Linked DNA regions of Saccharomyces cerevisiae S288C. The protein of the gene in region 2 purifies or fractionates together with the protein of the main gene of each other region. This does not show direct contact. Each region holds a gene or a part of one and is shown on either strand. Other genes may lie near its edges.

What was found. Proteins that work in one complex are often made in the same cells at the same time.
Region 1: the proteins of ERB1 (region 2) and NOP2 purify together in Saccharomyces cerevisiae (affinity purification with mass spectrometry; 6 studies listed by BioGRID, with this or other methods). This does not show direct contact.

The regions. Positions count from the first base shown.
Region 1 is NC_001146.8:508,602-512,896, reverse strand, and holds NOP2 (rRNA (cytosine-C5-)-methyltransferase NOP2), read right to left. Parts: upstream 2,358-4,295; coding exon 501-2,357; downstream 1-500. Other genes in the region: actin-related protein ARP5, read left to right, coding at 1-229; tRNA 1-methyladenosine methyltransferase subunit GCD10, read left to right, coding at 2,685-4,121; MTQ1 (S-adenosylmethionine-dependent methyltransferase), read right to left, coding at 4,195-4,295. UniProt on the Saccharomyces cerevisiae protein: S-adenosyl-L-methionine-dependent methyltransferase that specifically methylates the C(5) position of cytosine 2870 (m5C2870) in 25S rRNA. Required for 60S ribosomal subunit synthesis and processing.
Region 2 is NC_001145.3:367,594-373,958, reverse strand, and holds ERB1 (ribosome biogenesis protein ERB1), read left to right. Parts: upstream 1-3,441; coding exon 3,442-5,865; downstream 5,866-6,365. Other genes in the region: CSM3 (Csm3p), read right to left, coding at 6,025-6,365.

The DNA of each region.
Region 1 (4,295 bases), on a different chromosome or scaffold from region 2:
GAAAGAACGTATTGTGAAGGAATTCACTGGATTCCTTCCTACCGGTACCAATATCACTGTAAATATGTCTTCAGATCCTTCATTGGATGCCTGGAAGGGTATGGCAGCTCTAGCACGAAACGAAGAACAGTATAGGAAAACAGTTATCAGTAAGAAAGAATACGAAGAGTACGGTCCAGAGTACATCAAAGAGCATAAGTTAGGGAATACGAAGTATTTTGAAGACTAAGGAGACAGCAAACTGAAACGCCTTAAAAACAAAAAAAGAGAAATAAATAGAGATATATGTAATACTATATTGGCAACGAATATTAATAAGTAATATCATCGCCTTTTTTCTTAGTGCTGTTTACAAATCGGCTTTATTATTTCTATTTTGAATTTAATATACAGTGAGACATATTTGAAATTGATATATATATATATATATATATATGTAGACAGAGAAAGATTAGAGAGAGAAAACTATGCTAACATGATGCCACTACGTTTGTGGGAACTTATTTTTCGTTAGAAGGTCTTTTAGCTTTTGGATTGACACCCTTTTTCAAAAGATTGTTTTTCACAGACTTTTCAATGTACTTATCGTCTTCTTCGTCCTCGAAGGTTGCGAAGTCAGAGTGAATGATACCTTCTTCCAAAGCTTCCTTTCTAGCAGCAGTTTCCTTTTCTTTTGCACTTGCTTGGTTATCATCAAACGAAGATGGACCGATCTTTTGGAATTTAGCGACAAAGAACCCATCGACGTTGTACGTATGTGGATAGTACCTCCTCGCTAATTTCACACTAGGATGAAACTTTTTGCCTCTGTAACTAGTAAACGCTTCTTTACCGATCGCTAAACCAGTATCGACTAACTTGACATTCGGTCTTTTTCTCAATGCATAGTCTATGACAGCTTCGTCCTCTTCCACTGCAACAGAACATGTCGAATATACTATTACACCACCATGTTTCGAGTTGCAATCAACAGAATCAATGGCGGATAGAAGCAATTGTTTTTGTAGATGTGGAATTTGAATGAAGTCCTTCTCGGTACGAGACACCTTGACAGATTGATCCTTACCGATAACACCAGTACCGGAACATGGGGCATCCAGTAAAATTCTGTCAAAACCTCCAATTACCTTAGGGAACTCACGGGCATCGTAATTGCATACAATAGTGTTGGTACAGCCTAGACGGTGGATATTAGCAATTAAAGATTTTGTTCTAGATTTATTGGCGTCGTTAGCGAAAACACAACCTGTGTTTTTCATCATAGCTGATATATAAGTGGTCTTACCACCTGGAGCAGCTGCCATATCCAAGATACGCTCATTTTCATGAGGATCTAGAGCAATAACTGGTAGAAAAGATGATGCCGCTTGTAAAATATAGTGACCTGCCAAATATTCTGGCGTAGCACCAATTGGGACTTGGGAATCGAATATTTGAAGACCAACTTTAGTCCAAGAACCAATAGGTTGTAGATTAACACCTCTATTCACAAGAGTTTGAGCTAAGTCTCTCCTTCTGGTCTTCAAGGTGTTGGTTCTGATGGTTATTGGTCTTGCAATTTCATTGGCTTCGAAAAACTCCATCGCCTCTGCTGGTGAGAATAGATTGAATAACTTTTCCGCCAAAAATGGTGTATAACCAAAGTACTCACAAATATCTTTCAAAAGTCTGTCAACGTATTCTCCTCTCGATCTGCCTTCTGCACCAAGAGTCTTAAAATTTTCCAAAACCTTTACAATTTCAATCATTCTTGTTCTTGTGGAAGTTAAATTAGGAGTTTCTTGTGCCATCATTTCTTCCTGCTCCTCAGTGGGCAATATGTCTGCTCTTGGTTGCATGTTCTCCGCTTCCACTAACTCCATTTCGGCTTCTTCAGCTTCTTCAGCTTCTTCTTCATCAAGTTTCTTAGAAAGAGCTTCCATGTTTTGTGCATTTAGTTCTTCAAGATCAGCCTCATCGTCGTCATCTGAAAAAATTGGGTGGGCGTCATTATCTTCATCTTCATCGTAATCATATTCTTGTTCCAAGTCAAATTCATCTTTTAGTTCTTCATCCACCAATCCTGCTTCATCGTCATCTTCTTCATCATCAAATAAAGATTTCCTGGCTTTTGATAATTCTTCAAGATCAACTTCTGGCAAATCCTTATCCTCTTCAACAACTTCTTCCTCCTCTTTTCTAGATTTCTTGAATGGCTTCGACTTCTTTTTCTTTCTATCAGAAACTTCATCCCCTTGCGTGGTAGAAGGTCTCTTTCCTTTTTCTAGCTTTCTATTAGCCTTCTTTTCCTTTCTTGCCTGAAACTCCTCCAGGGTTGGTGGGGCGGCTTGCTTGTTCTTATGACGTCTACTACCCATTTCCTATTATATGTATATGTAATTCTAATATTAGCCAACACAAGGGGAATTCCGCCAGAATTACAAATCTATATACCTTAGCGACAACTGTATTTGCAGCTCAGCTCATCTTAAACTTATTCTGCGATGAGATGAAAATTTTTTTCAGAAAACGTGAAACTGGGTAACGGTTTTGTAAAATCTGAAAAATTTCATCAAAAAAAAAAAAAAAGTCGATGAGGTGTATAATAACAATAATAATATTCAACTTTAAATTCTTTGGCACGTTGGATCCTACTCACATTGTTGCAAACGAATTGGACAAAAAAACTTTGAATTTAGTGCACAATGAATGCTTTGACAACCATAGATTTTAATCAGCACGTTATCGTCCGGCTGCCATCAAAAAATTACAAGATAGTGGAACTAAAGCCCAACACCTCTGTATCATTAGGAAAATTCGGTGCTTTCGAGGTTAATGACATAATTGGTTATCCTTTCGGGTTGACTTTCGAGATATATTATGATGGCGAAGAGGTTTCATCCGATGAAAATAGAGATTCGAAACCAAAGAACAAAATTCCCATCGGGAAAGTAAGGCTATTATCGCAGGAGATCAAAGATGTCAATAATGATAAAGACGATGGTCAAAGCGAGCCTCCTTTATCTATTAAGGAAAAATCTGTGTCTCTTGAATTGTCTAGCATTGACAGCAGTGCTACGAATCAGAATCTGGTTAACATGGGCAGCAAGGCCCAAGAGTTAACCGTTGAAGAAATTGAAAAAATGAAACAAGAATCTTTATCTAGTAAAGAAATAATCGACAAAATTATCAAATCTCACAAAAGTTTTCACAACAAGACCGTATATTCTCAAGAGAAATATGTGAATAGGAAGAAACAAAAATTCGCCAAGTACTTCACCGTTGAGTATTTAAGTAGCTCTAACCTTTTACAATTCTTAATCGACAAAGGCGATATCCAAAGGGTATTGGATATGTCTCAGGAATCGATGGGGATGCTGTTAAATCTTGCGAACATCCAATCAGAAGGCAACTATCTCTGTATGGATGAAACGGGTGGGTTATTGGTTTACTTTCTGTTGGAAAGAATGTTTGGCGGTGACAATGAAAGCAAATCCAAGGGCAAAGTCATAGTTATTCACGAAAATGAACATGCCAACTTGGATTTGCTGAAGTTTGCTAATTATTCTGAGAAATTTATTAAAGAGCATGTACACACCATTTCTCTATTAGATTTTTTTGAACCGCCTACACTACAAGAGATTCAGAGCAGATTTACACCATTACCTAAAGAAGAAGCCCGTGCATTAAAAGGTGGTAAGAAAAACTCGTACTACCGAAAACTCAGATGGTACAATACACAATGGCAAATTTTAGAACTAACAGGAGAATTCCTATATGACGGTCTTGTAATGGCTACTACACTACATTTACCAACACTAGTGCCAAAGTTGGCCGAAAAAATCCATGGTTCAAGGCCGATTGTATGCTATGGTCAATTCAAAGAAACTTTGTTGGAATTAGCTCATACTTTATATTCAGACCTCAGGTTTTTAGCACCATCAATTTTGGAAACTAGATGTAGGCCGTACCAAAGTATAAGGGGTAAGCTACACCCTCTGATGACCATGAAAGGTGGTGGTGGATATCTAATGTGGTGTCACAGAGTCATCCCTGCTCCTGAACCTGTATCGGAAAACGCGACTGCAGCTGACTCCAGTGAAAAGCTTGCTGAACATGGAGCTAAGAAACAAAAAATATAAATGTCCACAGAGTGTTCCGTTTGATAACTTCCAACAAAAAAACCTGAGAATATATATATTTACATTTATATACTTAGTTGCAATTAGCTTTGTGCCCACTGAGTGCGGTTGCTAAATGTCTTATAGTCCCAAAGGATGCAAAAATCTGGTGTAGTATTCGCCCTTTGGGAGTGG
Region 2 (6,365 bases):
ATCTGGGTGAAAGTGATAACGAAATTCAGTACGACATACTTGGCTTAGAAATCAAATATCAAAGAGGTAAATACATGAAATTAGGTATGGAAAACTCATTAACTGAAAAAATACCCAAACTAAACGTACCTTTGAACCCAAAAGGAAGGAAACTTAGCGCTCCAGGTCAACCAGGTCTATATATAGACCAGCAAGAACTAGAGCTAGAAGAAGATGATTACAAAATGAAGGTACATGAAATGCAAAAGCTGATAGGTCTAGCATCATATGTTGGATATAAATTTAGATTTGACCTATTATACTACATCAACACACTTGCACAACATATACTATTTCCGTCCAAGCAAGTGTTAGATATGACATATGAATTGATACAGTTCATATGGAATACGAGAGATAAGCAATTAATATGGCACAAAAGCAAACCTGTTAAGCCAACAAATAAATTAGTTGTTATAAGCGATGCATCGTATGGTAACCAACCGTATTATAAATCACAAATTGGCAACATATATTTACTTAATGGAAAAGTAATTGGAGGAAAGTCCACCAAGGCTTCATTAACATGTACTTCAACTACGGAAGCAGAAATACACGCGATAAGTGAATCTGTCCCATTATTAAATAACCTCAGTCACCTTGTGCAAGAACTTAACAAGAAACCAATTACTAAAGGATTACTAACCGACAGTAAATCTACAATCAGTATAATTATATCCAATAATGAAGAGAAATTTAGAAACAGATTTTTTGGTACTAAAGCAATGAGACTAAGAGATGAAGTATCAGGAAATCATCTGCACGTATGCTATATCGAAACCAAAAAGAATATTGCAGACGTAATGACCAAACCTCTTCCGATAAAAACATTCAAACTATTAACAAACAAATGGATTCATTAGATCTATTACATTATGGGTGGTATGTTGGAATAAAAATCCACTATCGTCTATCAACTAATAGTTATATTATCAATATATTATCATATACGGTGTTAAGATGATGACATAAGTTATGAGAAGCTGTCATCGATGTTAGAGGAAGCTGAAACGCAAGGATTGATAATGTAATAGGATCAATGAATATAAACATATAAAACGGAATGAGGAATAATCGTAATATTAGTATGTAGAAATATAGATTCCATTTTGAGGATTCCTATATCCTCGAGGAGAACTTCTAGTATATTCTGTATACCTAATATTATAGCCTTTATCAACAATGGAATCCCAACAATTATCTAATTACCCACATATATCTCACCTTCTTACACTGTATATGATAATATATTAATATTAAACCAGTCAATAAATGTAATTGATTATTTCAACACGAAAACCTAACTATCAACGATATCACATAGAACAGCGAAGAGTTAGAAGATTTATTAGAAGATTTATTAGTATAGGTTATTTTAGATGCAATTTTTCAATAAAACCTGGTTTCGTGGTCTAGTCGGTTATGGCATCTGCTTAACACGCAGAACGTCCCCAGTTCGATCCTGGGCGAAATCATTTTTTTAGCACTTTAGCAGCATATTGCGGTATCGAATCATCTTCATGAATGGCGCAGATTTATTTGAACTGTTCAATCATAAATTAACCTTATGTGAATAGTCTGGGTAGGTTGAAACTTCGGAAATCACTTGCTTTTCTGAGGGCTGCGCGTAATCTAGATAGATCTACCTAAATGACACCGATGGCAACTTCAAGCTATACTAACTCCTAGACATTACTTTCTTCAGTATTCCCTTAGTGCCTGTTTTGAGCTATGAGATTGGTATTATTATTTGAAATATCTTCTATTGCGGTATCTGATTTTATATTTCTAGCTTTGTCATAAAATATAAAATACACAAATATATATATAGAGATAAGATAGATTATTTTTGATGACTTGCAAGTTGCACTAGGATTTGTTTTTCTTCTAAAAACCCCTTAAAGGTATTTCCAGAGAAAATATTATGCTGGTTATTCGATACTATTATCCAGTATACACTGACCTATGTTATAAGCAAAGGTTCTTCGTTCTGCCTCTTTAACAGGTGGAGTGCGTGCCATTATCATCAATGAAAGTTTAACATGTAATTGTCATCAGCTGTATACTGTTCGAATCTGTTCATTACGAAGGTTTAACTTCAAAAATCGAAAAGAAAAAAAATAGAAGATAAGAATATTGCATAGATCCTTCTTTTTTAGTGAAGTCACCGAATAATACATATAATGAAGTTAAAATTACAAACCGTGCAAAAACACCGCTGATTTAGAGTGGGCGATTTCATAGATCAAAAAGCAGGCTAAATATGAATTGAAAATTAAGTAGTCTACTATTTTCTGACAGCAGTGGCGCGCGACGGTTTCCAGGAAGTTTATTATTCAACGTGTCCAATTTTCACACGCTGCTTGACATCGTTATTCCCTGAACGCATTTTTACACTGTATGCGCAATTTGAGCCACTTTGATGGACTATTATGTATGAATAGCTTAGCTTAAAGAAGTAACAGTAGAGTGTTGAACCTTTAAGTGCTTGATGTACTCGAGCCTTTTTCTATGATACCTCACTCCAGAAAAAAGCGTTTAACATATCTGGCATTGAGGGTGGTCTCAAACAATAAAAGTATCCTATTTAATATTTTAACATTGCTGATAACCTAAAAAATCTGAACGTTGCCAGCATAAAACCTCAGCTTTATATCGTACTGAATAACATACTTACTGCAGGGCGAAATTTTTCTCAAATTGTGCCTAAATCGTTAAGTTACTAAACTTTTACGCGCAGTACTGGCATTGAGCGATCAATATTGTTTAATGCGTAGTGACGATCTTCTCCACTTATATTTTTTTATTCGTAGTTCTCTATTTTCGTTTCGATTTGTTTTCTCTGTCTACCAGATTAAAAGTGATTTGAAGTTTTTTATCATGAACTAAACAATAAAATTACAAAAAAAAAAAGTCAGCGTCACCAAGGATTGCTACCAATATACGACTTTACTGCTGTATTATCGAATTTTACCTTCTAGGATATTATGTAAAGTCTCTAGCAAAGGGAGAAAACTAATGTTACTAGGACTGAAGAACATTTTCCTCTTATAGTGTAAAATTGATTTTGACAAGAATATAATTAATACATTTTTTTTCTTTTGATAGCAGTATTGAGTACAATGAATTGAGCATTCAAGGTTCAACATGTGATAGTAGCTCTACCGCTAGTATGTTATTGCTAATTAAGTAGGATTGAATTGTCGCGATTTTGTCATTTTGGGTTTTAATAACTCTTGTACGGGTTACCCCATTTGTTTTTGAAGATTAGTGAAAAATTATTGAAAATTTTTTTTTTTTTGGTTTTGCGATGAGCTTATAATTTACATATGTGATATATTCGCATATAGATCCTAGCGAAGAAAGGTACTGTATTAAATCTGTTCTAACATAACTAGGTCAATGATGGCTAAGAACAACAAAACTACCGAGGCAAAGATGTCGAAAAAGAGAGCAGCTAGCGAAGAATCTGATGTCGAGGAAGATGAGGACAAGCTTTTATCCGTTGACGGTTTGATCGATGCGGAAGCAAGTGAGAGTGACGAGGATGATGACGAATACGAGTCTGCCGTTGAAGAAAAGGAATCATCTTCTGATAAAGAAGCCCAAGATGATTCTGATGATGACTCCGATGCTGAATTAAACAAACTGCTTGCCGAAGAAGAAGGTGATGGGGAAGAGGACTATGACAGTTCTGAGTTTTCAGACGACACAACTTCCTTAACAGACAGATTATCGGGTGTGAAATTGCAAACGATCGTTGATCCGAATATTTACTCAAAATATGCAGATGGCAGTGATAGAATTATCAAACCTGAAATTAATCCAGTTTATGATAGCGATGATAGTGATGCCGAAACGCAAAATACCATTGGTAATATTCCACTTTCTGCATACGATGAAATGCCACACATTGGATACGATATCAACGGTAAAAGGATTATGAGACCTGCCAAGGGTTCTGCTTTAGATCAACTGTTGGATTCTATCGAGCTACCTGAAGGCTGGACTGGTTTACTGGACAAGAATTCCGGTTCAAGTTTGAACTTAACCAAAGAGGAATTAGAACTTATTTCCAAAATCCAAAGGAACGAACAAACTGATGATAGCATAAATCCATACGAACCGTTAATCGATTGGTTCACGAGACACGAAGAAGTGATGCCATTAACTGCTGTTCCGGAGCCAAAAAGAAGATTTGTTCCATCCAAAAACGAAGCCAAGAGAGTTATGAAAATTGTAAGAGCTATCAGAGAGGGCCGTATTATTCCTCCTAAAAAATTAAAGGAAATGAAAGAAAAGGAAAAAATTGAAAACTATCAATACGATTTATGGGGTGATTCTACGGAAACAAATGATCATGTAATGCATCTAAGGGCACCAAAATTACCTCCACCAACTAATGAAGAGAGTTATAATCCACCAGAAGAGTATCTTTTGTCTCCTGAAGAAAAGGAGGCCTGGGAAAATACTGAATATAGTGAAAGAGAAAGAAACTTCATACCTCAAAAGTATTCTGCCTTAAGAAAGGTCCCTGGTTACGGTGAATCTATTAGGGAAAGATTTGAAAGATCTTTGGATTTATATTTAGCTCCTCGTGTCCGTAAAAACAAATTGAATATTGATCCTAATTCTCTAATTCCAGAACTTCCCTCTCCCAAGGATTTAAGACCCTTCCCTATTCGTTGCTCAACAATATACGCTGGTCACAAAGGAAAAGTACGCACATTATCCATTGATCCTTCTGGATTATGGCTAGCAACAGGATCTGATGACGGAACAGTCAGGGTATGGGAAATTTTAACTGGTAGAGAAGTTTATAGAACTACTTTAATCGATGACGAGGAAAACCCAGATTACCACATTGAATGCATTGAATGGAATCCTGATGCTAATAATGGTATTCTCGCCGTTGCTGTTGGTGAAAACATTCATTTAATAGTACCACCAATATTCGGCTACGATATTGAAAATAACGGCAAAACTAAGATTGAAGATGGTTTTGGCTACGATACTTTTGGGACTGTTAAAAAATCTAACCTAGAAGTGAACGAGAATGGTGATGGCGATGAAGATGGAGAGAATGAATCTGCTAAGAATGCTGTAAAAAAACAAGTAGCCCAATGGAACAAGCCTTCTCAAAAGCAACTAGAAAAGGATATTTGTATCACTATTTCTTGCAAAAAAACAGTAAAAAAGCTTTCATGGCATAGAAAAGGTGATTACTTTGTCACTGTTCAACCTGACTCTGGTAACACTTCTGTTTTGATTCACCAAGTTTCCAAGCATTTAACCCAATCCCCATTCAAAAAATCGAAGGGCATTATTATGGATGCGAAGTTCCATCCTTTTAAACCTCAATTATTTGTCTGTTCCCAAAGATATGTCAGAATTTATGATTTATCTCAACAAATATTGGTCAAGAAACTGTTGCCTGGTGCCCGTTGGTTATCGAAAATCGATATTCACCCAAGGGGTGATAATTTAATTGCGTCATCGTTTGACAAGAGAGTTTTATGGCACGACCTGGATTTGGCTAGCACACCTTACAAGACACTAAGATATCATGAAAAAGCCGTCAGAAGTGTGAATTTCCACAAAAAGTTACCTCTATTCAGCTCTGCCGCTGATGACGGTACCATACATGTTTTCCATGCCACTGTTTATGATGACATGATGAAAAATCCGATGATTGTGCCACTAAAGAAACTAACCGGTCATAAAGTAATCAATAGTCTGGGTGTTCTTGATGCTATTTGGCATCCGAGGGAAGCTTGGCTGTTTTCTGCCGGTGCTGATAATACGGCTCGCTTATGGACCACCTAGATAAATAATTTGAAGTAGATATTGTATAATAACGCCCAAGAAGAAAAAATCAAACACTCGAACCAGGCTCTTTCTACAAGCTTTATTTACACAATATATATAAACCTATATGTATAGATGCCCACACGCACGTTTGGATTATTACCTTCAATGACATTGCTAAAAGCCCATTTCCTTCATAGCATCCAACTCATCTTGATCTACGCCAAACTCATCTCCCCCTGGCAATAAATCATAATGAGTATGTTGTCCCTCTATATCATTCATTTCCCACTCTTCCAAACTTTGAATCAGTTGAACGTCTTCTTCAGTCATAGAGCCTTTTTCCATTTTTCTATGCGCATCTAGCCATCCTAATAAGAGCTTCTTCTCATTTTCTTCAAGGCCAACGGGCCCTTGTACCCTGAATGTCTTCAATAATGCATCCAAATCTTCCTTAGGCGGCACAACGTTGTTAAGTACCGTTTCATTATTCCCACGTTCGTCCAAAACTCGTCCTC